Neodiprion lecontei: one gene and its partner. The protein of the gene in region 2 interacts with the protein of the main gene of each other region in a pairwise test. Links are inferred from orthologs where the notes say so. Each region holds a gene or a part of one and is shown on either strand. Other genes may lie near its edges.

Region 1 (12,404 bases), on a different chromosome or scaffold from region 2:
AATTGACAGCCTTCCATCACTTAGGTAAATTATGTATAGGAACACTCGATCGACTCCACAACTATCAATAGAATAAAATGAACTTTGGTCGTGAAAGAAGAATTGTCACAAATTGTGCATATGGCATATTTGCGAGAGGAGATATTTTCCAAGCGATAAAAATTTCTCAATAATTTGATAAAATAATTAAATTTTCAGCAACTCCTTGCAGTCTCAACTTTCTTCTAATGTATGCCAGATTGTAGGCAACACGTCTAACACGAGTGCAAATGCGTACTACTGCTTAGGTTTCCGAATATAATACAAGGTAGCGCCATTGATCAATGTAGGACACAACGCCATCGGTTACGACTTTGTTAACTACATATGCCGTAAGCGTATTCATTTCAATAAATAAGATAGCGCTAGGAACTGGAATGTTCTTGTTTTTTCGCACGAAAAGATAATAAATTTTATATGAAATCATTGCGCAATATAGAGATTCCCCAAAATGTGTGCTACAGTTTTTCTCTTACTGGCCGAGTAACATTGATGTTTTAAAATATAACCCTGCTGCTTAAATAAAAAAATTAAATAGTAGAATTTCCTTGGCAATCAAATACCGAGATCACAATTTACCAGAACATATAGTCAGACCTTGCAATTTCACTAAGAAAATATCAAGTATATGTGATTTTTGCAATTGCTGATATGAAAATACCGACACTGTTTTGTCGATAAGGAAAGCCATGCACCAGACACGGTTACTAATCTCTGCATAAGGTCACATCCAGCGACATTGGAACCAACTTTGCCTCGCTACCAACAGTTGTTTGATGATCGTAACGCGGTACTGTTACTCCGCCGGTAACATTGCTAGCAATGCAACGGTGCGTACAACTACTCACTGTAGCGGTACGCTATCTACCCCATAAATGCAAATCTGTCATATTTCTAGCCAACATTCTTTTACGCGTACGCAGTTTTAATCTTTGACCAGGGAAGGTTGATTAGGTATGATTTGAAAAATATTGAAACTTTGAACTTCGTCCAATTGAATGGAACTTAATTAAACTCCACTTCACCAGGTCCAAAGTAGATGTTCCTTTAGCTCTGTCTATTCCTTTCACGAATATAAAAACTTTGCCAAACTAAGTCATTCGACAGTAATTATTATTCACAAATTTTTGCTACCCTCTGTAACGTGCAACGCTAGAATTGATCGGACGCTAGACAAGGCAAACGCCGATATTCGCTCCGACAAATCACCGAGTAATGTATAGGTAGTAAAAATATCGACACACCGGTGGTAAACTCAGTTGTTTTGTTTCTATAGCAACTCTCATCGAAATTCACGGATAAATGGGAGAAAATCCGCCCTATGGAATAGTGCGAGAATTTTCTTGGGTTATCTCAACCTGGGGATACAGCACATTGCTTTATTTTTTCTACTTAAACTCATCGCCTGACTTGGTATTCTGCGATAAAGAAGAAAGAAAGAAGCAAAAAAGAAAGCTCACAAAGTAATCGGTGGACAATCAACCGCAAACAGTGTTCGCCGCGAAACGCGATGTGAAGTGCCAAATCTTTATTCCCCTTGTCAAAAAGTCTCGACAAGTTTACACGAACGAGTGTCCGTGCGTTTGATAAACTCTAAATTCTAAAGAAAACGTAAAATAAAGGAAGAAAAAAAGAAGTAAAAAAAATAAAAAAATCTAAAAATGGCAACAAGGACGAGTCAAGTGAGCCAATGCGAAATGTGCAACAAGGGGATGAAGGCGTACAACATCCCCGAGGCTGGACCACGGGGGAAGAAAGAGACGTACTCCTTCGTCAAAAGTCCCCGGGCAATTTTGCACATACAGAAGAAGTATCGCAATCCACCAATGTAAGAATGTCTCCTTCTGGAATCTATTCGCTTGCACGGACAACCGAGCCCGAGTGTCCTGCAACGAGTGGACTAAAGGTCAGAGGAAGAGTGCTGGAGATCAAGGACGAGGACGAGACGAACGAACCTAACGGTTGTGCCTCCTTGTAACAATTTCCCGTTTTTCGTCGTGCGCCATAATAATTAATACGTACGTCAGTCGTTAGTTTATCTGATGCCCAGCACTCTTGAATATCCGACTCACGCAGCTCCCATTGATCCGACTAGATGCATAGCCAAGTCACCGCCAACCTTACGCCCTCGAAATTGAGCACACTTTTCCTCGACTGAAATTTTTATCGAAACTACTGCCGGTGCAGTAGAGTTTACATATTTACGATTTAAGGGCCTCATGATTGTATCAGTAATACGTCAGCCGTCGCAGGCTACGGCGCAACCCATCAATCCGATCAGCGCCGTGCCTAGCCCTTGGAGTACTTGGGGTAGGCTGAGGGAAACCGCTTTTTTCAATACGAATATACGTATGTATGGGAAATTCCATGTGAATCCAATTAACGTCTGACCCTCAACATTTTTGATTTCGTTCAAAATTTTTTCAGCCATTGTCCCAACTCTAATTTCCCAAAAACTGTATTTTCTAGTCCAAATATTTCAAGACCGGACCTACGGTGCTTCGATTTTTTTTCTATTTCGTTCCGTGCCAAATGTGCAGGATGAGATACTCAAGTTGTACGTGGCGCATATGTGTACGCGCTAATATTGGTTGCCATACATTTAAAATTTTCATTTCTATACCACTTTCTGCTATGTCGGTTACATCGTAACCATGACAAATACGCAAGGAAAACCGCTCTCAAGATTATTATAGATACCAAGTTTTTTGATTTTTTGAACAACAAAAAAAAGCATTCACTGCACGGCTCTTCTGGCGGCTGCTTCTTTGCCCCAGCCCTAGGCACGGCACTGAATTCGATGATACATTTCATCAATATGAACATTAGGAATGATCCCTTTGCGCTACAAGTTCACGAAATGCTTCATGTACTTACAAATTACTTTGAAAAACTGAAAAGTATATTAGCTATGATCAGCCCGTTTGCTTGTTAATAGTTTAACAAATTATTGGCAGACGGTCTACAAATGAGGATTCGCAGAGTGGTGCTGAATTATTCAAAGTCGCCGCAAACATAATCCTGCCTTCGTATATCAGGCATTTTCATCACACATTAAAACATTCGACATCGTGATACTAAGAGAGTACATTCAACCCTGCAAAAACATAATTTCATCGGGTGCTGGAAAATTACTGGCATCGATAATGCGTGGTACATATACTATGAGTTTGCCCGGTAGCACCAGGCAACCATATTATACACGTACGCCACTAACCGTTCCATTTCTGCGGCTGACACGAATGACCCCTAATGCCCGCTGACCGGACCTGGTCCGTGTTGTTGGTATTACGAATTTGTAAAGCTCAAACTGTGGAAGATGTTTGCGATTCAGCAAGCTAGTGACGCAGACCTCCAAAGCATTCGATCATCTCTCTGTTGTATAATTGAATGAGATAAAATCCAAGACCACGTATAACCATTGCCGTACGGTATTACAAAGATTTATTTCCAATGTGCATGAATCTCTTTGATAACGACTAAGTTGTATAAGCTTATATTTGAGAACGCTTGTAGTGTCAAAAACGAAATGAATACATTTTCGAACATATTGAGAACAGATTTGAGGAAATGAGGTTTGTTAACTGCCTAGTAGAAATTTAACGCAGTGTTTAAAAACCCTGTTCAGACATGGCAACGCGTTGTTCAGACTGTTGTATACTTTCACAATTCCTCCTACGATTACCGTCAGAATTCGTTCCGTTTTAGGCAAGTTCAAACACCTCTCGTGCAGATGATTATCACCGACTTTACGACGGAAAGAAGCCAGTAAACCGTCGAAAACCGTGACCAATATAATCATGGTGTTTCTTACCATGAGACTTCACATTCGTCGATTAGGCGATTATATCATATCGGTCAAATATAATTATAAAAATATCTGTACCCTTTATACGCGTTATACCTGTGGAATGCCAATTAATCAAAAATGTTATAAGACCATACAATCATTTTGACAATGAAAGTAAAACGTTCATAATGTGTACCTCGAGTGAAACTTCTGCGAATGTTTGGCTAACGGCGATACGTGCGATTTCGTTCGCGTTTAAAGAATTCCTCGAATATAAAATAGGGGTTAAATCGAGAGGGCAAGGATCTTCTCCTCGGCTATACTATTTAAAGCCAGCAATCGGACGATCTGACTTCACCTTGACGCGTTGACCGCTTTGGTCGAAATCGAACTCTTCTCCCCTATTCTTTAACTTCCCCCTTGACCGCCTCTGCGTGACGATATCCGTATACGATCCTTACACGTGTGCGAAGAGACATGCGCAACTGGCCAATGGTCACCGCTATTGAGTTGCTAGCCGGCCGGTAACACGCCGGTAGAAAACGGTAAGGGTACAATGTCCAGTGTGTGAACTCACCCCCGAGAGTGTTTGGCCTGCAGCGGTGGTGCAGTCGTCGAGGAAGTTTTTCGCGACTAGATCCACCGATCTCCTAAAAAGTACGTATCTGTCTAACGGAGAGTCTGACGTATATTCTTTGTCTCGAGTAATTGGCAACGTAACTAGCAAAATTCTGCCAGGGTGACTAGGATCTCTTCGGTATGAGTCTGTATTGACTTTTCCGTCATAGCCAACAGCTTCAATCTCACACAAATCCATCCCGTTTCATCTCATCATGTTTTTTATCTCTGTCAATTACACGTCAGATATTTTTCACGTCGTTCAATGTTAATCGCGGCACGACTAAGTCCCAACGAATTGATAATAATACGCAACGATGCACTCACAAAACAGTCATTGGGCATATGCCGTAGTTGGATTCATTTTTCTCTGAACAAACCTCGCCGTCCTGCGTGGTCACCGACGGACATGCCTCATAAATATTAACGCCGACGCGTCACGTAGGCTAATTTGCAACACTAGCTATTCCGTTTAACACTTGGGATAGGCAAAAAATCGATCATCTGATTGGAGCTCTGAGTTCGATCGGGCTTGAATTAGAACAGTGTTTTCCCCGCAGAGAAAATAGAAAGCGGCCTTCGTTTAAAAAATTTGTTCACGAATAAAAAATTTCGCCATTTCACTCACAAAATCCTAACACCGCCGTTACAGAATTTTATATCGTAACTTTTTCCGCTTTGACATAAGTACGTCAGTGTCTGCCAAAAAAAATTATTTTTTTTCAAACGTGCACCAAAATTTCGGCAGAGTATCTCAAATAGAATATCTCAGCCGAATATGAGGTCTTAATATTGATATTGAGAGGTGCCTATTTTATTTTTTCCATTTTCCATTTAAATAACACGTAAAAGAAATGGGAAAACTCTTTCGGAATACTAGACAGAAACATTGGTAAAAATGATGCTAATAGGAACTCGCAATTTCGCTGAAAGTTCAGCAATACAGAGTTCCATTATTGATTTTGAATTAATTTCGAATCGACGTTAACAGGATAACCTCACCGCGAAACGACAATAAGAATCTTGATTCACTCACTGAAAGACAAAACAAACAAGATATAGAAACCGCCTTAATGGTAGCGTGAGAATTTTTTCACGCTGCCGGTATTCAATCGTCGGAGAAAAATATGCAACGCGAATAGCGTAGGATTAATTGTTTAAGGTCGCTATGCCAGCTGGCATTTCGGCGTTGGCACCCTCAAATCCGGAGACCTTCAACCTCGGCGACAAAGAACTACCAGCGTTTACCATCCTCCAGAAGGATGGCCTCGACTCTTCGCTACCTTTGCTACACGCCGAAGACGACATGGATTTCGAAATGTCGAATAAAATTATTTCTCAAAATTTGTACAACCAGAAACAGTTTAGCAGATCGAACGATCACCTGCTACTGGCGAGCCTCCAGAACCAGCAATCAAATCCGCTGAAAGCCAAGCACAGTAAAAGCCAGGGGAATCTCAATAGAGATAAGCCGGAAGTTAAAGCTCCAATGATTCTGTCGACCGAAGATTTCACCGAAGTCTTGAACGCCAAGCTACGAAAGGTACGAGAAGAAGAAGATCACGGTAAATCGAGAAAACTTTACACCGGTAACAACAATAATTTCGTATCGAGAAAGCCTTTCATCACAACGGTGAAAACCGGTGAATTCCTGATGCCGCCACCGGAAGTAGCTTCTCTCCTTGGCATAGCTGTGAACAGCAGCTCTAACAGCGGGGACGATCCAAGTCCAAGGTCAAAGTTCCGGCCGTTGAACTTGCTGACAAAAAAGCCGGAAATCAGACACCAAAGTCATCACTCGAGGTGCCAAGCCGCCCTGAAGGCTACCACGGATTTCTCAATGGCTTTGGTGAACTCGGCAGCGCCGGCGTCGGAGCCGAATAGGTGGAAGAGGAGCGCGCCACCGACGCAAACGTAAGTCAGGATGGAAAGAAATCTGAAAAACTGCTTCGCATTTCGATGATTCGGTAAGAGAGGGCTTGTGTCCTGTTTTCTAGCGAACAAGCACCAATGCCTAGAGCGTTACCGAAAAAATTGGAACCGATCCCGAGCACCATTCTGCCGAACCGGTAATAGATCATTGCACAGGAGCGAGTATACTTTTCAGTTTGCTAAACCGAGTGACGATTAGATCATAGTGATTGCAGATTGCGCCGAATCGCAGTTAGGCCAAGCGGCTGAATAATTTCACGGTTTCAATCACGAGTTCAAGTTATATGTGTATCGCATAAGTGCCTGTTCCAACTATCATGCTTACATACTGCATACATTCCGCTGCACCTACGCAAGCGAGCTTTGCCAGGTGAAATAGAACATGGGATAGAGTTGAAACGGCACTGTAGACACCGTATCCGCAGCGTCATTGGCAGTGCAAAAATCGATCCCTTTCCTTTTGTTTCTTAATTTTCAAATTGCAGTGATCAACCGGTTCCCTTCGGGAACATTATGTTCGATCGTCGCGTCGTTCGCGGGAGTACTTTCGCCTCAACTCCGATGCCTGTAAGTATCAACGTGTGGGAAATCCAACGGTTCCATGTTTCCCAACTCCGGGATGATTTCAGGTGGACAGTGAACAATCGCAGGCCGCGCTTCAAGCGGAAGCCAGGCGTCGACAACTCGCGAGAAGACGGGCACAGACTCAGGCGAGTCGAGCGTTGCACTTACGGATCGGTTCTCCACCGCCGGTTTCCGGTAGGAAACACGAACCGGTGCAGACGGAAACCTACCTCGAAGAGGTTCGCCTCATTCGTTTCGTTTATAGTATAAAGTCAGTTTCCATTCTTTCTCCTGGAATTTCAACTTGACCTTCTGCTTCGTTCGATAACACATCAACGAGTCAGTGATTCGAGGATATTCTGCAGCTAAATGTTTCACCGGTTAATTTCAGCTATTTGAAAAACCGGACGAATTCGACATCGGCACGCAGACCGATCACTTCCTCGATCGGCCACCAACGCCTCTCTATTGTCCGGCGAAAGTTGGAACGGATCAGTGTACTCAGATATACCCTGGTGACGTGAGTACATCTACATGAGAAGCTTATTCGGAAGCTATCCATCTTCCATCCGGCTTTCGTATACTGGGTTCGAATTGAAAATCCGACGTACATTGTCAAAGAGGCGAAAAATAATTCACCATTTGTCGAATGGTCAACTTGTAGCATTTTCGTAAAGACACAGTTAGAGTAGTCGATTAAATGATACGAATTTTTCAGTTATTCGACTACGATGTCGAGGTGCAGCCTATCATTGAGGTACTGGTTGGGAAGACCATCGAACAATCGCTCATCGAGGTTCTCGAAGAGGAAGAAGTTGCGACCTTGCGGGAGCAGCAACGGAAATTCCTGGAGTTGCGGGAGGCAGAAAAGGCAGAAGCACAGCGTCTCGAGGAACAAGAGAGACGATTACGCGAAGAGAAAGTAAGCGCGATTGAAGAAATTTATCATCGAAACGGCCCTGAGATCAGTCTGATTTACTTTTCCCATTAACATCAACTATTCACATCATTGTTGACCTTGCCGTGTACGGTGAGACCGAAACTCGACACACGTACACGTGTATCAAGGTATACGTATAATTCTCTTGTAATGGCTTACTTCACCGATCGATTCTTCTGCCAAAAATGTAGTGCCGACGTCTGAAGCAACACGAGGAAGCGGTAAATACCCAGTTGGAGACAGAAGAGCGGGTAGCTGCGGCAGTTCTTCTAACCGGATACATCGCAGAACTTTTACCGGCAGTTCTGGAGGGATTAAAGATGTCAGGGTTCCTGCTGGATGAAATCAAAGCAGGTAAAACTGGAGCAACGAACCGACAACAAGGCCGATAAACGTTATCGTGTTTGACCCTTTTCAGACGTCGAGGAGGGCTTCATGCCGTGGCTGATGAAGGAGGTGAAAAAAGAGATGGGCAACATGATCGAGAGCCGAGAGTTGCTGATGGGTAAAAGCAATTTTTTTCACATCTAATTGATCCCCCGATCACGAGCGGTGTTTTACGAAAGTGTGATAATTGTCGAACATCGACGAACCGCAGATATCATCAGAGAGATACTGGAGAATCGTGCTGAGACGTATCGTCGCCTGGGCGAAGATTACGACGCCTCAAGAGACCAGCTCGACCTTGAGGAACAGGACGAGGGTGAAGGCGAGGGCGACACTCGGGACGTGGACTTCGTCGATTACGAGCCCCCAGCCCTGGACGATGTCAATCCAGCTTAGCAGTCGTGCTACAACGTTCTATGTTCGTCCAAGTAAGTCTGGCCACCCACTTTCGAGCTGGCACAGAGCGCAAAACGGGACCTGACCAGCAATTCGGTGCACTGACCGAGACGCCAGGTCGATGCCTATATTCAATAGAATCAGTAATTAATCGAGCAAAGATCAGCCGCGACCACTTTGACTGGCTCATGCCTAGTCCCTCTCACTATGCAGAGTAAGCCATAAGCTTAGCCATATACGAGCCGAGCACGATGGTGTACACAGCTGCACGAGTCGAGGTTTTCTCCCTGGTCCTACGCAGGGGGCGTTCGATGTACCAACGAGCGGGGAACTGGCAAGTCCCCCCGGTGTCAAATATTGGTATTTGTCCACGCAAATGAAATACCTATCAGATAGTGATTATTGATTTTTGAATTCGGACGACAGATACCGATTTTTACTAAAGTTCCATTTTTCAAAGGTGTTTCTTTCTATTTCTCGTACAGATGGCCCTTTCTAACGCTGAAAAAATGGGATCAAGTAACATCGCGAGATTGAAGATCGCACGATACGTAGTGCCTGATAATACGTAATACCTAGTTATTATGAATAACTGTATTCAAATTTTAACCGCAAATGACTTGCTATTTACTCTTAGTTAAGCACTATACGATCGATGCATGTCGAAAAAAGAGAATAAATATTGCTCATACAATTCGACCTACTCGTTATTCTACTTCCCTTCTTGTGCCTAGAAATTGAACTGTGTTTCAATTATTTCATCATTTTTCATACTTTTATAATAACGGTGAGCTTTAAAACCCTGACTTATTTCGCTCGTTTGGGGACACTATGAGCAAAGAACGCGTTAGCGGTTGTGCCTTTTTAAAACTATACAGAATTATGTTAAATTATATGCGTATAATTTTATAGAATTTCACCAGGTCAAACTTGAGTTAGAATTTTATATAAATTTTACCAGGTATACCCTTTTTCACGAATATTCTTTATCAATGCAGTGTTACAACTCATTACGAAGATAATACCGAGAATTGTAAGTTCGGCCCGGCATAAACAAATACGTTCCGAGTGCACTAGTACCGTTTTTGCACCAAGCGATTTGGACTTGTTAGTAATTAGCTAAAATGACGAGCACATAGATGGCGCAGTCGAACTTTGATTGTCGTGAACCATCCTTTCCCCAAAGAAGAGCAGTTTTGAGTATACGAAACCATGCCTGGCTCAGATTTGTCAAATTTATTACTTATACCCTTTTTGCACCAACCTCCGCATTTGATAAAGTTGTGTTTAATTGGAAAACATTTTGCCGTAAATTCGAAATTAATTTCGTGATGTCTGTAAAATATCAATCCATGAACGAAATAAATCTGAATCAAACAAACAATATGACGTTGTTGTTAAATAACGAGCTTTCGATGATGGTAGTAATAATAACAATTAGTCAGGTAAGGAAACATCTGACAACTGTGGCAACTATATTACTGCTTACATAGGCATCCTTGTAAAAACTATATTTTTTTTAACTTTTAGGGGAGCGGCGAGCAAAATGGGCACCCCTGAAAAATTTTCATATCTTTTTATAAACAAGTTTTTAACGCTTTTGAAGCAAATTTAGAAAAGTACGCATAATTTTTAAACGGCCCATTTTACCCGCTTTTTCTCTACAAGTCTCTTATACATAGCTAATCTTATTTTCAAGGTATTATAAAGAAGATAGAAAAATAAATTTGGAACATTTTTCAATTTTGAAAACTGTATGTAATATTTTAGGGTGTCCATTTTGCCCGTCCATCCCTATAAAACTTGTAGTACTGACGGTTACATACCAACTGCGACTTCTGTATTTACGCTGTCGATTCTATACTTATTGTTAGTCGTTCAAAAATTCCGAGTCCAGGCTTGAACGCAGGTTCGCGTAAAATTATACAGGTTTGGAGCTAATTTGCGTTAAGAATTTCAAGTGCGTGAAGTGAAAAACACAATGAGGCTGCCTGGTGTTGATTTCTAAGTCGACAAGGCCGCAGGGGTGTTCTTAATGTGAAAAATAATGCCATGGTACTTCCACCAATATTGGTACAGGTCAACGCAATTAATCAGTAAACGTCAGGCCAGGAATCGTCCAGTTTGCTGAGCCAGAACCAGCCCCCTGACACTCACCACTGCTCGTATACTAAAATATTGTACGCGTCTTGTCCCCGTTTTTTAGTTCCTCTACGTGGCGCTAGTAGACTTCTGACAAGCTCGCTGCCCTCGCTGACCGCGCGCAAGCTCGTCAGGTAACTGCTAGCGCCACTAGTGGTGGAAATTGGCGGCAGAATCGAGGGACATTTAGCGAACCACTTTTAGCAGCATGTGTCAGGGGGCTGGCCAGAACTTAAAATGAAAAACTGGCGATGAACATTGGTGGCTGACTACGGTCAGATCAATGTCTGACAAACACGGGTAAGTATAAACCCGGACTTCCCCAATCGCAGAGACAAATCGGTAGCCAGCTGAACGAGCAAATCTGTTACCGGCAAAGCAGGAAACGTAAAACCCGGAAATTAATTTATCATCCATATAAATATAACATACATACAGTGTACAGGCGAAGGTAAAATTTACCACGTGTTCGATCACGAATCCAGCAAAACTTATCCATCCCCATCATCAAAAGTAATGCGAAAATTCAAACAGGTAAAAACGCGGTCACGTCGATGGCGACGGAAACGACGTCATAACGGAAGTGAAGACTTTGACAGCATTATCGAATCCGGAGCGTAAAATGAATGTACAAACCTTAAATCCTGGGCAACTTAATGACAGGAAGGGATATAGTCAACTCTATTCAACAGGTGTATTTATTTTTAAAAAAACGTCGATTGACTGCGGGTGCTGTGCCTTAATTGGCACTGGTCACAGGAGTATTTAGTTCAACGAATAATTAAACTAGCTGAACGGTTGAAATGCCATGGGTCCTAATGACGCGCTAATGAGTCATAAAATAAATACTGCAAGCTTAGTTCGTTATTTTAGTAATTGGTTATAGGAACTACATCTTGCGAACTAATAAACATAGATAAGGCGTGACCGCGCACCCTTGTTCCGACGATAATCTTTTGGCTTGTACTCCATAATAATCGCTTGATCTAGGGACACTTTTGTCATTACGCCACGCACCAATGCCCTGCGCCTACTCAAGTGCTCGATACTCGCTGGTATACCTGCATCAACGAGCAAGAACCTTCGTCGTACACTTCTTTAACCTTACGTACGCAGTAGTAATTTTGAGCGAGGACTTTCTGCTTTTGTCGAGTGATAAAATGTCGTATAATCTTCGCAAATTTTGAAGGAACTTTGAAACAAATATGATAAAGTAGTTCCATCAATGCGCGCAAGTGATTTATCCTGAAATCAACTTTTTATATCACACAAACTTTGGTCTCTCAAAAAATACAGAAATTAGTCCACCGGTATAACTCTGAAGTAAAATGTTTTGTTTATCCAGTTTCAACAGAATTCACATATTTCGTTGAATTTTAAGAAAACTCTAACGATATATGTGGAAAAAGATCACGAATAAACAAATTACGCATATGACAGTTGTCACTTACGTTTTATTCCATCATACCACGATGAATGACGAGGGTTCCGGGACTAATTGGATGAATAACAAGATGAATGAAAGTGATAAAATACCGTTACTACAGACAACATACAAACGCTATTGGGCTAATATGAGCATCATTAACGGTACAG
Region 2 (10,914 bases):
TTACTTTTGCTCATTTTTCGGACCTGGATGCTGCAAAGTAGCTCCATTTAATGGACAGGTAGAAGCAGGTGGAGTTGCTATAGAAAAGATATATACTGAATTGGTGTGCTAATAGTGATAGTGGAGCTATCCCATAGTGGATAATGTAAGGGTATAGAGTAATCCTGAGTAACTCAAGTGACTGACTTCACCTCATGTTTTCTGTGTACAAATATACTGCCCACTGATAGATGTAGGCATACCCAATATTTCATAATTTGCGATCTTGATTTCTTTAGTGATCTCTGGGCCTCAAAAAAGAATCAGTTGCTGTTCGAGAAATGGGGTATTTGTTCTTTGGTCTGTAAAATTTCAATAAATTTATTTTGACAACATGATAACGAAGTTTTTCAGAGTTGCGTGGATCATCGAAAAATTCACCTCAGATATAACGTAAGGCTTGAATTGATTTCTCATGTATTTCAAATGAATGAGCTTGTGTTTTGCGCGAGCGCAGCCTGACTGGGAATTGACAACACCGAGCTTGCTCAATAGTAAGCGTGGGATTTGCACTTTCATGTGCATTGAAGGTACGCTGCTGGGTGTTGACCGAAGTCCATAAAGCCTTGAGTTCTATAATTGTATACTAATCTGTATGCGCTCATTTTATTAGATTTTATATGTATACATGTGATATTGCATGTAGGTATATGTAATAGGGTGGCCCTTAGAAGATGGGCTTCGCTGAATTTTAAGTGAACCATTGCCGAACAAAAATCGGTATTAATATGCAACTTCATATTTCAAATACAAATGATGTCTATAAGATCGTTTTGTTGTTCATTCGAATAACATCAATTTTCTGGGATTCACAAATTATGACTGTACACCATGTATAGTCAACATTTAAAAAATCCGAAATCCATATGAATTAAAGTTCATCAATCCTCGACGTGATATTTCATATAGCTACAAAACATTTAACTTGAAATATCGCATCAGAAGTACCTAAAATTTTCATGAACCTGTTCCGACAATGTACTTTAGAAGTGCATAAAAATCAATGGCATTTATCTGATAGGCACCATTTGCTATTGAGGTACAGAGCCCGGATTTTTATTTATTCATTTCGAGCCGTTTTTCGAAGGTTCGAAACCATTTTGAAAGGCCATCCTAACATGTATGCACGAGAACGAGAAAAAAAGTTATACATAATCATGTCACTCTTAGATTGTGTTGAACTTATCCTAGATCTTAATAAATATATGAATATGATGCATATGCGCAAAGTCTTGACGATTTCCATTTTTCTTAAAGCATTTCATTTAGTGTCTCCAATATCATTAAATTTAAAATATTAATGATTCTGAGAAGTCTAAAAATACTTTTTCCAACTTCCAACTGATGAGTTGAAGAGATTCACGTACAAATTTTTTAAATTATTCGCTGCAATCAGTGCTACTACAATAACTAAAATCGGCCAAAATAAAATACTGACCCTCAATAGCTGTTTATATAACTGAATACTTGGTCTGACGAAATAAAATAAAACTTCTGTGTGCAATAAAGACATTACTCTGGAATTGTCAATTTCGTCCCAATCCTACTGCCTGGTTTACATAGGTGGATTTAGTAGTAGAGTAAGAAGGTATAGTTTGTACTTTGTCATTACTGCATCTTGGGGTAGTGCAACTAGGGTACTGAACATAGCAGCGGGCAAAGTAGAGTGAATAGCACGTGTGAAGTAGTAGGTTATTGCGATAGTACAGAGTAGAGACCCTACAAAACAGAGTCAGGTCATTGCCTCCGCCTTGGCCGCCATTTTTTGATAAACCGAAATTGTGGGAAGATTTAAACACATAAGTAGGTAGAAACGTTGATTTTGTATAATAAACATATTGCAATATTAGCTTGTAATATGTTTGTTTATTAATATTAACGTTTCTACCTACTTATATGTGTTTAAAACTTCGCGCAATTTCGATTCATCAGAAAATGAGGACCAAGATAGAGAAGATTGGCCGGACTCTGTTTCGTAGGGACTCTGGCGCTCAGTAGCTGGGTCCGAAACATGCGAATCTACAGAATGTGTTATTATTTGGCAACTGTTGCGATTGTCAACTCTTCTCTACTGAATTACTGGCTCTGTGTGGACAGTAACTATACCTAAATTAGCAGAATTATTTATAGAAAAAGTATGTTTGTGTACTCACTATTAAATCTACTAATGTAAACCAGTTTTACCAGGTAATCGGCATTGTAACTACTAGCGAATAGTTAGAAATTAATTGCGAACCTAATGTTGGGCAAATTACATCTGCTATCTTGTATACAGTGATTGCGCTAACGATGGAAAAATGCTCTACCTTTGTTCCAAGTATATCAAGGCGGTAGGAACGGGAAGTCATGTAAGGTGACCTTATCGAATGTAGACATTTCCACTGTATATGTGATGCCATAAACGATTTTCACTGTCCAGCATTGTTCATTTGCTTGCTATCTGATCATTTGTTTATTTCAGGCCATAGAAATGGTCACGTTGATCCCAAGGTTTCCATTATCGGCAAATAATTGTGCCATCGACGTATCAAACACTAAGCAGTCGGAATTAAGAATAGCAGAAGATACACCTTCGTGGATAGATCTTGGCATAGCTTCCCACGTAAGCCGTCGTCTATGACCATTCAATTCCAATCTGAAATATCGAGAAAGAAAAAACCAGACTCAGATGCCATTATAACTTTCACAGCCAAACTTTAAACTCACAGGTCTTATCTTGTCTTCATTATTCTATACTGTGTATATAATCATATATTCATAAATATGCATGAAAATATAAACAGCGTTTAGTATAGATTGTATATGTATATTCAATCCATCTACGATGGAAGTCCGCGGACTTGATCCTGACTATAAAGCTGGTTATAAGTATATTATTTATAGAGAGCCATGTACTATAACTATAATGATGTAACATAATATTAACTCTATGATATCCCTGACATAAATTATAATAATGCAGGCTCTATCTGATATTTAGATTAATCTTTAAAAGTTAAGGAAAAATGGCTACGTCATGGAATAGGACTCCGTTGTGCTAAAATATTTCCCCATAAGCAATAAATAATCCAGACGATATTTTACGTATGGTAAATGACAAAAAGTGCAAAATAAATTCCAATTCACTCTTAGGAATATCGGAATAGGAATAAAATAATTAAATTAAAAAATTCAAATCAGACAAATCATTTTTCTTGAATATTTTTTCGAGTCCTCGATTTTTCCGACGAATATATCTCACGTCAATAAATCAATGATGAATATTTTGAAAAATTGATATGTTGAAATTAATTCATTCACGTATGTAATTGACAGTTCGATAAAAATCAAGTGCCTCCTACTTTTTATTCCAGTACCTGCCTGTTGTGACCTCAGTGGCAAATAATAAATAGTCACGAGATTATAAAAAAATAATATCTACCTGTACGCGAAGTTTTCAGCTTGTTTCCTTGAACCAATTAGTTGAACAATGGCAAAGAATTGCTGATGTCCATCATACTTTTCTTGTTTCTCCAAGACAAGCATAAAGTGATGACCAAAACATGACTGCATCATAACCCAATCTACTGCTCCAGAAAGATTGATATCCGTTGCTAAAAATACGATGTCTTCACCTAGAAGAGAATAGGATTGCTGCAGAATATGTTTCCAAATTACAGCACATCACCAATTACAGTAAGAAAAAATCCCTGTCTTTCCTAGTGATTAGTCTGTTGCATCGATTATTAGAAATAGTTGTAAGCTAGACTAATATTTGCAGATTACCTTGAAGGGTGGTAATACTCTTATGGCTCATAACAAGGTGAGGCATGACTTGTTCGAGAGATCCCTGCCACTTGCAAGAAGCACCGGGGCAAGGGCAACTGTAGGGTCGAAACTCACAAGCATCCTCATGATCAGCTTTCTCCGTGTGGACAAGAGATACAGTACAACCGCTTGTCGAATACTTGCAGGGGAACATTACATTGCTCGCTACTTTCTCCATTGCCAGGTTCCTGATGTTACCTGTTTGGTTGTTTGTTTTTTTTTTTTTTTAAATTCAAGGTAAACTGGACGAGAAGATAACATCATCGGTACCCATCACAGTCAAACATAGGTAGATACTATAAAAGTATAAGTAACTGGGACAAAGTTGGTGAATAATGTATGTACCAACCTAGGGGACCCCGACAAGTGGGACAACAGTTGAGCTTGGGGCGACAGTTGCTGCATACTAGATGACCGCTCTGGCATTGCAGTATAGGTGGCAAGACATAGTCAAAGCACACGGGGCATTCGAAGAGGCTGGCTAGATCCGCAGAACTGCTCAATGCAGAGGCTGCCGATGCTGAGGTGCCCGGTACTCCACGGCCTCGCTTTCCCGAACTTATATTCAATTGTGACATTATGTCGAGCGGATTGCAGACTGTAACGGGACGCTTCCTTCCTAGGTCACTGGTCTTATCTAAGTCTAATTTTTTGTGTGAAAGAACGTCCCCAGTTTCGTTTTATACCTGACCGGCTGTCCCCGATATCTGAGGTATACCTGGTGGGTTGGTTTATCTCGTTAACTCATTAACGATTTCATTACAAATTTTCCGCACCAGTGAGGTTCCACAAGAAAAGGATGCAAGGCGGCCTGTCACAACGTTCCGGTATTATTCATTGGATATTCTTATTTTGGTATTGGTTTTGGTATAGGTCTTGCTTACAGTAGTAATGATAAGATTAAAAAAAGGCACTTGAACGAATATTATCGTTGGACGCAAACAAGCCCGAGTCTTCCGACATGGAAACTAACCCCTTCTTTCTGTGGTACGGATAGTGTCAACGTTTACGGACACTCGATAATAAAAAAATAAACCGAATCGACGGGAAAGCTACATCGCGACGTAGCGAGATCGAGGCGCGTCGACGGTTTGCTCTGCGGTGGTGGTGCTGTGTACGGGCGGTGGCAACGGCAACGGAAGCTGCGAAGACAATGACAGCGACAACGGCGACGGCAACGACGACGGCGATGATGATGATGATACTGATGATGATGATGATGATGATGATGATGGTGATGATGATGAAGATGATGGCGATGGCGATGACGATGACGACGACGAGGATAACGAAACTGACAGTAATATTGACACTGACAAGGAGGGCAAAGACGTCGGGGGTGTCAACGGCATCGTGGCGTCGGACGATTGCCGGCGAGGGCGCGGACTTGGATCTACGGAGGACGTGATCAAACTCAGGCTCTGATCTAGTAGATAGACTGAAGACTGACGAGCGACGACAGGCGATAGGCAGTGGCGACTGGCGACGTTTACAAGGGGCCTCTACCTACTACATGCACGCCGTACGCGTACGGCGTGTTATCTAGTCTTACTTTGTCACTTCTCCACTTCAGCGCATGCCAGTACGTATGTATGTACGTACATGCATACACACCATGCGTACATTGTATAGTTAGTAGCCAGTACTTATATCTTCATTATGATTCACAACAGACGATGCGCGAACGTTATCCGTCGTATCTCTGGACACTTCATGCTGATAAAATGTCTATTGGCTGATTGTCTTTCTTTTTTTCAAGTACTGCAAAAATTACCACTGCACTAGCGACAACTTCTGCTTATACCTGCTTTCGATGCATGTACGCAGTCAAGCACGTATAGGCAAATACATGCACGCCTACACATTTACCAACGTTTGCAATACGTGCACTACACGACTTACATATTTCACCACACTAGACCAGAAAAAAAAATAGATATGTTAGGCCTCGTCCGATTATCACATCACATGGATTCTTTTTCTTCCTCTTCCAATCGGCTGTCTCCTTCCATCACACAATTCAATTACTGGCACAGCACCTTTCAATGCTGTCGGTAATCTTTTGCGTTTGCGCTAACGAATTAACGACTAGCCCTGCCTGTGTTCTAGGGAGTTTTTATGACTAGCAGTTTGGAGTGTATAGAAGGAGGGCACTCTCTAATGTATGGCGCGTCAGAATGTGGTCAAATTCTGTAGGCAAGTAAGGGAACATAGAATAACCGACGTGGCGCCGATTATTACAAAGTTGAATGTTGAAGTTAGTTACACTTAAACTTATGATATTTGAAACTAACTTCAGATGGTTCAGATCAGCAACTTACGTTTTCACAGCACCACTCTTATTTGTACCCATAATCAGCTCACTTTTTATAACCCTTAAGATATCCCCCCCTACTATACACTCCACAGCTAGCAGCCTGGCAGCTGATTTCAGGCGACAAACTTATTTCAGACTCATTTTTCAAGACGTTCAAGATTTCAGGGTCTGGGGATTTTTGAAACTGGACCCTAGATATCGCATGCGACATTTGGGGTCCTTGTTCAGAGAATCTAACTCGGAACCATGTTCAGAATGTTCAAACCACGTTCAGAAGGGACTGTTCACCGCACTCACAATGAGTTATCGGATTTTTCGAAGTGTCGTTTGATTTGTTCCACTGAGAATTTTTTTTTTCTACCCCCTCGGATGAGAGCATGGATATTTTAACAAGCCCTCCACCTGATAAGCCAAAGATTTTTGCACGATATTTGTTTCGGTTCCGATTATGCCACTTCATATGATTATTAATTTCATTATTTGTATAGTAATTTATTATGTGATTATTTTATCGAATTTACAAGATTAATCATGTAATGAATTAAATGCTGATTTTTTTCAAAACATTTTATAATTTGACGCGAAAGGCCTCTCAGTTCCGGTGTCTTCACGGTCTTGGAATATTCTTGAGGAATAGATTCTGATAAAAGCACAAAATCAATCAACATTGACGAAATTTTACATCGTGTGAATTGTGAAATATGCGTGCGTCACTAATGTCGATTAAAATCTGAGCCTAGACATCTTTTATCAAAAAAAAGTAGGAGTGCATTTCTCCATGCAATCCCAAACAAATAGACACCAAAACATCTGTGAAACGTCTGAAAACTCTGATTACCATGACTCCGAGCTGAATTCTCCAATCATGGAAAATCGTCGATTGTAACAATTTCGTAGTAACTCATTACCGCGTTCTCATGCCCTTTTTTTAAAATATAAGTTGCCTAGGCTTAGAATTTAATCGACCTAAGCGACGCACCAACATTTCACGATTCACACGCCATGAAATTTTGTCGATTTCGATTGATTTTATGAGATTCTATTCCTCACGGAACATCCAAGGCCGCAAAGGAAACGATTAGGATGCATAGTTTTCGTAATATTGGAAAAAAATTCTGGGGAACAGTAATTTTTTTGAAGCCTGGCGAACTTCGGTACAGGAGTCCCCTACCGCTACCGACTCAATTAACTTTGGCGTGGAGGTAAATGTAGGGCATGGCAGTTACCGCCGCCCAGTCGTGCTCCTTTCCATGCTTGAAAAGAATAATACCCATGGCTGGCTGCTTTGGCAATTTTCAGTCGACGCTGAACCACAAGAGCACCTAAAGAGGCATCACTGATACCTGACACCGATTATGATCTAAAAACTGCGTCGATAAGTTGAGGGCACTACACTTAACTTCGATTCTTCCGTGCTGTAAACGTAAAATTATTATTTCTCCTATCACGGATCCGCATTTATATCAGTAAAAAATATGTAATTCGATCGACTAACAGAAGATCGATCAAGAATTTCGCTTCACTAAAGTCCCACGTGGGTAAGAACTTTGGCAAGAATTAAGATAGTTGAATGTATGTACGCACGTACATACCTGAGAGCATTATATGCGGACAACTGTAAGCGGAGGTTTTATACATGTATATTTAACCGATTTTCAAAGAACTAATATAAATTTGAAATACGAAGCTTAACAGGTTGTCCAGCAACCGGGTAATTTAGGTTCAGGACCAATCCTCAATTTTTAAAAAGTCAAAAACCGTGCAGAACAAAGAGCCAACTAATTGTAAGTTTCTTTACAATGAACTTGACACATTTGAGTGTAAGAAATCTACATATCCTACTATTAATGCGGTAGATTCGTAATAGCAAATTCAATGTGTAAAAAATTAATCTTCAAATTCGACAAGTGTGCCGTGATGACATCTGCAAATATTCTTAAGGATGTGCCTTGGTCGTTTTCCACGTTGACGTATATATCTCGAAATAACGATATCTACGTATCTTGTAGGCGAAAAGGGCTTAACAGTTCCATTCTATACAAAATTCTGAATAAAAACACTGCAATGTATTTTCATTCGACGCAGAAATAAATAAATGTATACTGAAACGCATATTGTTTTATCCTTCATTACTTTTGGCGTGTATACCTTATTCGAAATCTTAATATGGATACTAAATTTTTTCGGCCAAACAAGTTTCTCTTTTTGCGTTCGTTAAATCAATTTACAAAAATTTAGGTCAATTAAAAATGGCGACATTTCGAGATTGTTGGGTTTGAGACGAAATGATTTATATTTTTCTTTTTCATTTTCTTAAAGATAATTCTATTACACTGGAGCTGTGTTTCAGGATAATTAATACGGTAACGAAAATTTTGCCGAAATAAATTTCTTCATTTTTCCTGCTGACAATTTCAGTATTTCCAGACAGTTTGCCACCATACTTACGTAATATTGGACCTTTTACGACCAACAACGTTAAAAAATTTTATGCGAAGGTGGGTGCGAGAAGACATGAAAATTAAATGATATTTCCAAAATCGAATTTGGCCGAATTTATTACGCACAGTTGGAATAATAAAAATTTTACGTTGAACCGTTTGATCGAGATCAGTACGCGTTCAATTCAGATTTCGTTTCAAAGTCGGAGGTTCTTCACTTTTACGAAATGTCTGAAGATTGCTTCGATTTTTCTCTGCGGAATATAAGTTCCTGAAATTTCCCAAAATTCTAAATTATTGGTGACCCTGCGAAATGAAACTACTAATTACAAGTTTTAATATTATTGAATTGATGTACATACATACGTATGTACGTATGTATAGCATATGTAAACACGTATTATACGTAGTCAATTATTTACAATATTGAAATCATGTAGTTGATATCGCAATTATTTCCAGATTACGTTAAATCAATACGCAACTATGCGAGGCACGAACTGATACTTGCTTTGAGTCTAACAAACTCGTGTATAAAGGGTATTATAGGGAGTCTACATAAATATTTGCTCGAGAAATGATTTACACGAACCCCGCATATCATCATTCTGGCTAAATTATTGCAGTATGATGATAATTCTAGAATCCTACCAATCCATACATAAAATTTCCATAAAGTGAGAATGATTAACTTGGAAGGATTGGTTACGAGTGATAGAGCGCAATGAATAAACAATGGCAAAGGTAGTCGAGATAATCGAATTATAACATTGTCCACGATGATGAAGATAATGATGATGATAATGACGACGACGATGATAATAACAACAACAAGAACAGTAATGATGTTAATAGTAATAATAACAATAATTAATAATATTAATGACAATTTAAAAAAATACCATAATAAACGTAGTGATGGATGATAAGGTGATCTACTTCGAGCGCGTGTGTGTTGTGTGTAGAGAGTAAAAAATATGTCAAGTCGATTCTATTCCGTTTGCAAATCATCCTAATTACAGTTTATAGACACGACTGAATTTAATGTACTTACTGGACACCAAAGAGAGTTCTACTGACAAAATATACTGGAACTGTAATATTTTAGCAGATAAACTTTTATGACAAATATAAGGTAAACTTGGATTGCAAGTGAAGCTGTATGCGCAAAACTCTTATATTTGTTTCTTTGGTATCCAGGATACATATTCAGGTTATAGCGGCCCAAGACAGTGAGGATGAGAAGGGGGCAGGCGGGGGGGTGGAAGAAGGAACTGATTCCTCTTCTCGATGATGCCGCATTTCTCGATGTACCAGGCATCAGTTTATTGTGGACGGCGGCGCCGCATAACGAGGTCTTAGATCCGAGTCACCATCGCACATATACCGCCCTGGAAATCGTTAGCCCATGTTATTTGCAAGTTTTTTTTCATCATTTTCTCTATCACTTGATAAAACATGTCAGGTGACTTACCGGAGACAAATCTCCGCTTCACTAAACTAAGCCTATACCCAACACCGACGAGTTCAAACTCAACCCCTGATAGGGTAGTGCCTTCACAATTGAATTGCGTGAATATTGTTCCCTGTGATCCTGGCCCTTGATCCAGCTCGATCCTTGCTTTAAGAGATCCGACACCACCACCTTCGCTATGCTGCGAGAGTTCGGTGAATTTCCACAATATTCGATTAGAATCAGGAAGCCACTGAGCGAGCGGCTTACTGTGCAGGCTCTTGAAACCTCCATCGATCAGTGAAGCAATGTGCACATTCAGAAGCGGGCTTGGTAATGCCATTGCACGACTGTTGTACTTGTAATCAATCTATGGATGAGATGAAGCTGATTATGAACAGATCACGGTCTCTAAAATCATCAGTAAACTGTATTCGTAGCTACATACTTTCAAATCAGTATGTGTTGTTTCGCATTTCCAATATGCAACGAGTTGAAAGGGGCACGATCCTGCACCATCCTTGTTCTTTATTTGATACTTGAGTATATCCACATTAAAATAGGAAGCTGAAGGATTTTGTTCGGCCTGCCGTCGGAGCAGGGTGGTTAAGGCACTCATATTGAAGTCGAATACCGTACTGTCAGCTGTTGCTTGCGTGGCATCCCTTTAACGAATATACAAATTGATGAGAAATATTGTTGTTCAATAAAGGATTCTTTTGTACTGTCAAGACTTACAAGCTGATCAGCTGATTGTTTGGCAGTAACCTTTCGAGTCTGTTGCTATTTTTAACACGAAAAATTAGCTTAGCAGGATTTGGATTATTAGCCAAAACGGCAACGATGCCAGCTGGAAA

Evidence for each region. The genes of interacting proteins can lie anywhere in the genome.
Region 1: the proteins of E3 ubiquitin-protein ligase SIAH1 (region 2) and radial spoke head protein 3 homolog A interact in a two-hybrid assay, tested with the Drosophila melanogaster proteins (2 studies listed by BioGRID). The link is inferred for Neodiprion lecontei from reciprocal best matches to the Drosophila melanogaster genes sina and Rsph3.

The regions. Positions count from the first base shown.
Region 1 is NC_060260.1:28,041,840-28,054,243, reverse strand, and holds radial spoke head protein 3 homolog A, read left to right. Parts: upstream 1-4,347; 5' UTR 4,348-4,486; intron 4,487-5,594; exon of another isoform or gene 5,595-5,609; 5' UTR 5,610-5,615; coding exon 5,616-6,361; intron 6,362-6,444; coding exon 6,445-6,516; intron 6,517-6,864; coding exon 6,865-6,946; intron 6,947-7,008; coding exon 7,009-7,182; intron 7,183-7,334; coding exon 7,335-7,463; intron 7,464-7,661; coding exon 7,662-7,865; intron 7,866-8,074; coding exon 8,075-8,237; intron 8,238-8,301; coding exon 8,302-8,388; intron 8,389-8,481; coding exon 8,482-8,666; 3' UTR 8,667-8,698; intron 8,699-9,151; 3' UTR 9,152-9,360; downstream 9,361-12,404.
Region 2 is NC_060264.1:36,317,219-36,328,132, reverse strand, and holds E3 ubiquitin-protein ligase SIAH1, read right to left. Parts: upstream 5,927-10,914; 5' UTR 5,399-5,926; exon of another isoform or gene 4,658-5,398; 5' UTR 4,425-4,657; coding exon 4,196-4,424; intron 4,045-4,195; coding exon 3,805-4,044; intron 3,654-3,804; coding exon 3,461-3,653; intron 2,675-3,460; coding exon 2,497-2,674; 3' UTR 2,457-2,496; downstream 1-2,456. Other genes in the region: F-BAR domain only protein 2, read right to left, coding at 9,925-9,995, 10,079-10,427, 10,506-10,722, 10,796-10,914. UniProt on the Drosophila melanogaster protein: E3 ubiquitin-protein ligase that is required for specification of R7 photoreceptor cell fate in the eye by mediating the ubiquitination and subsequent proteasomal degradation of Tramtrack (ttk).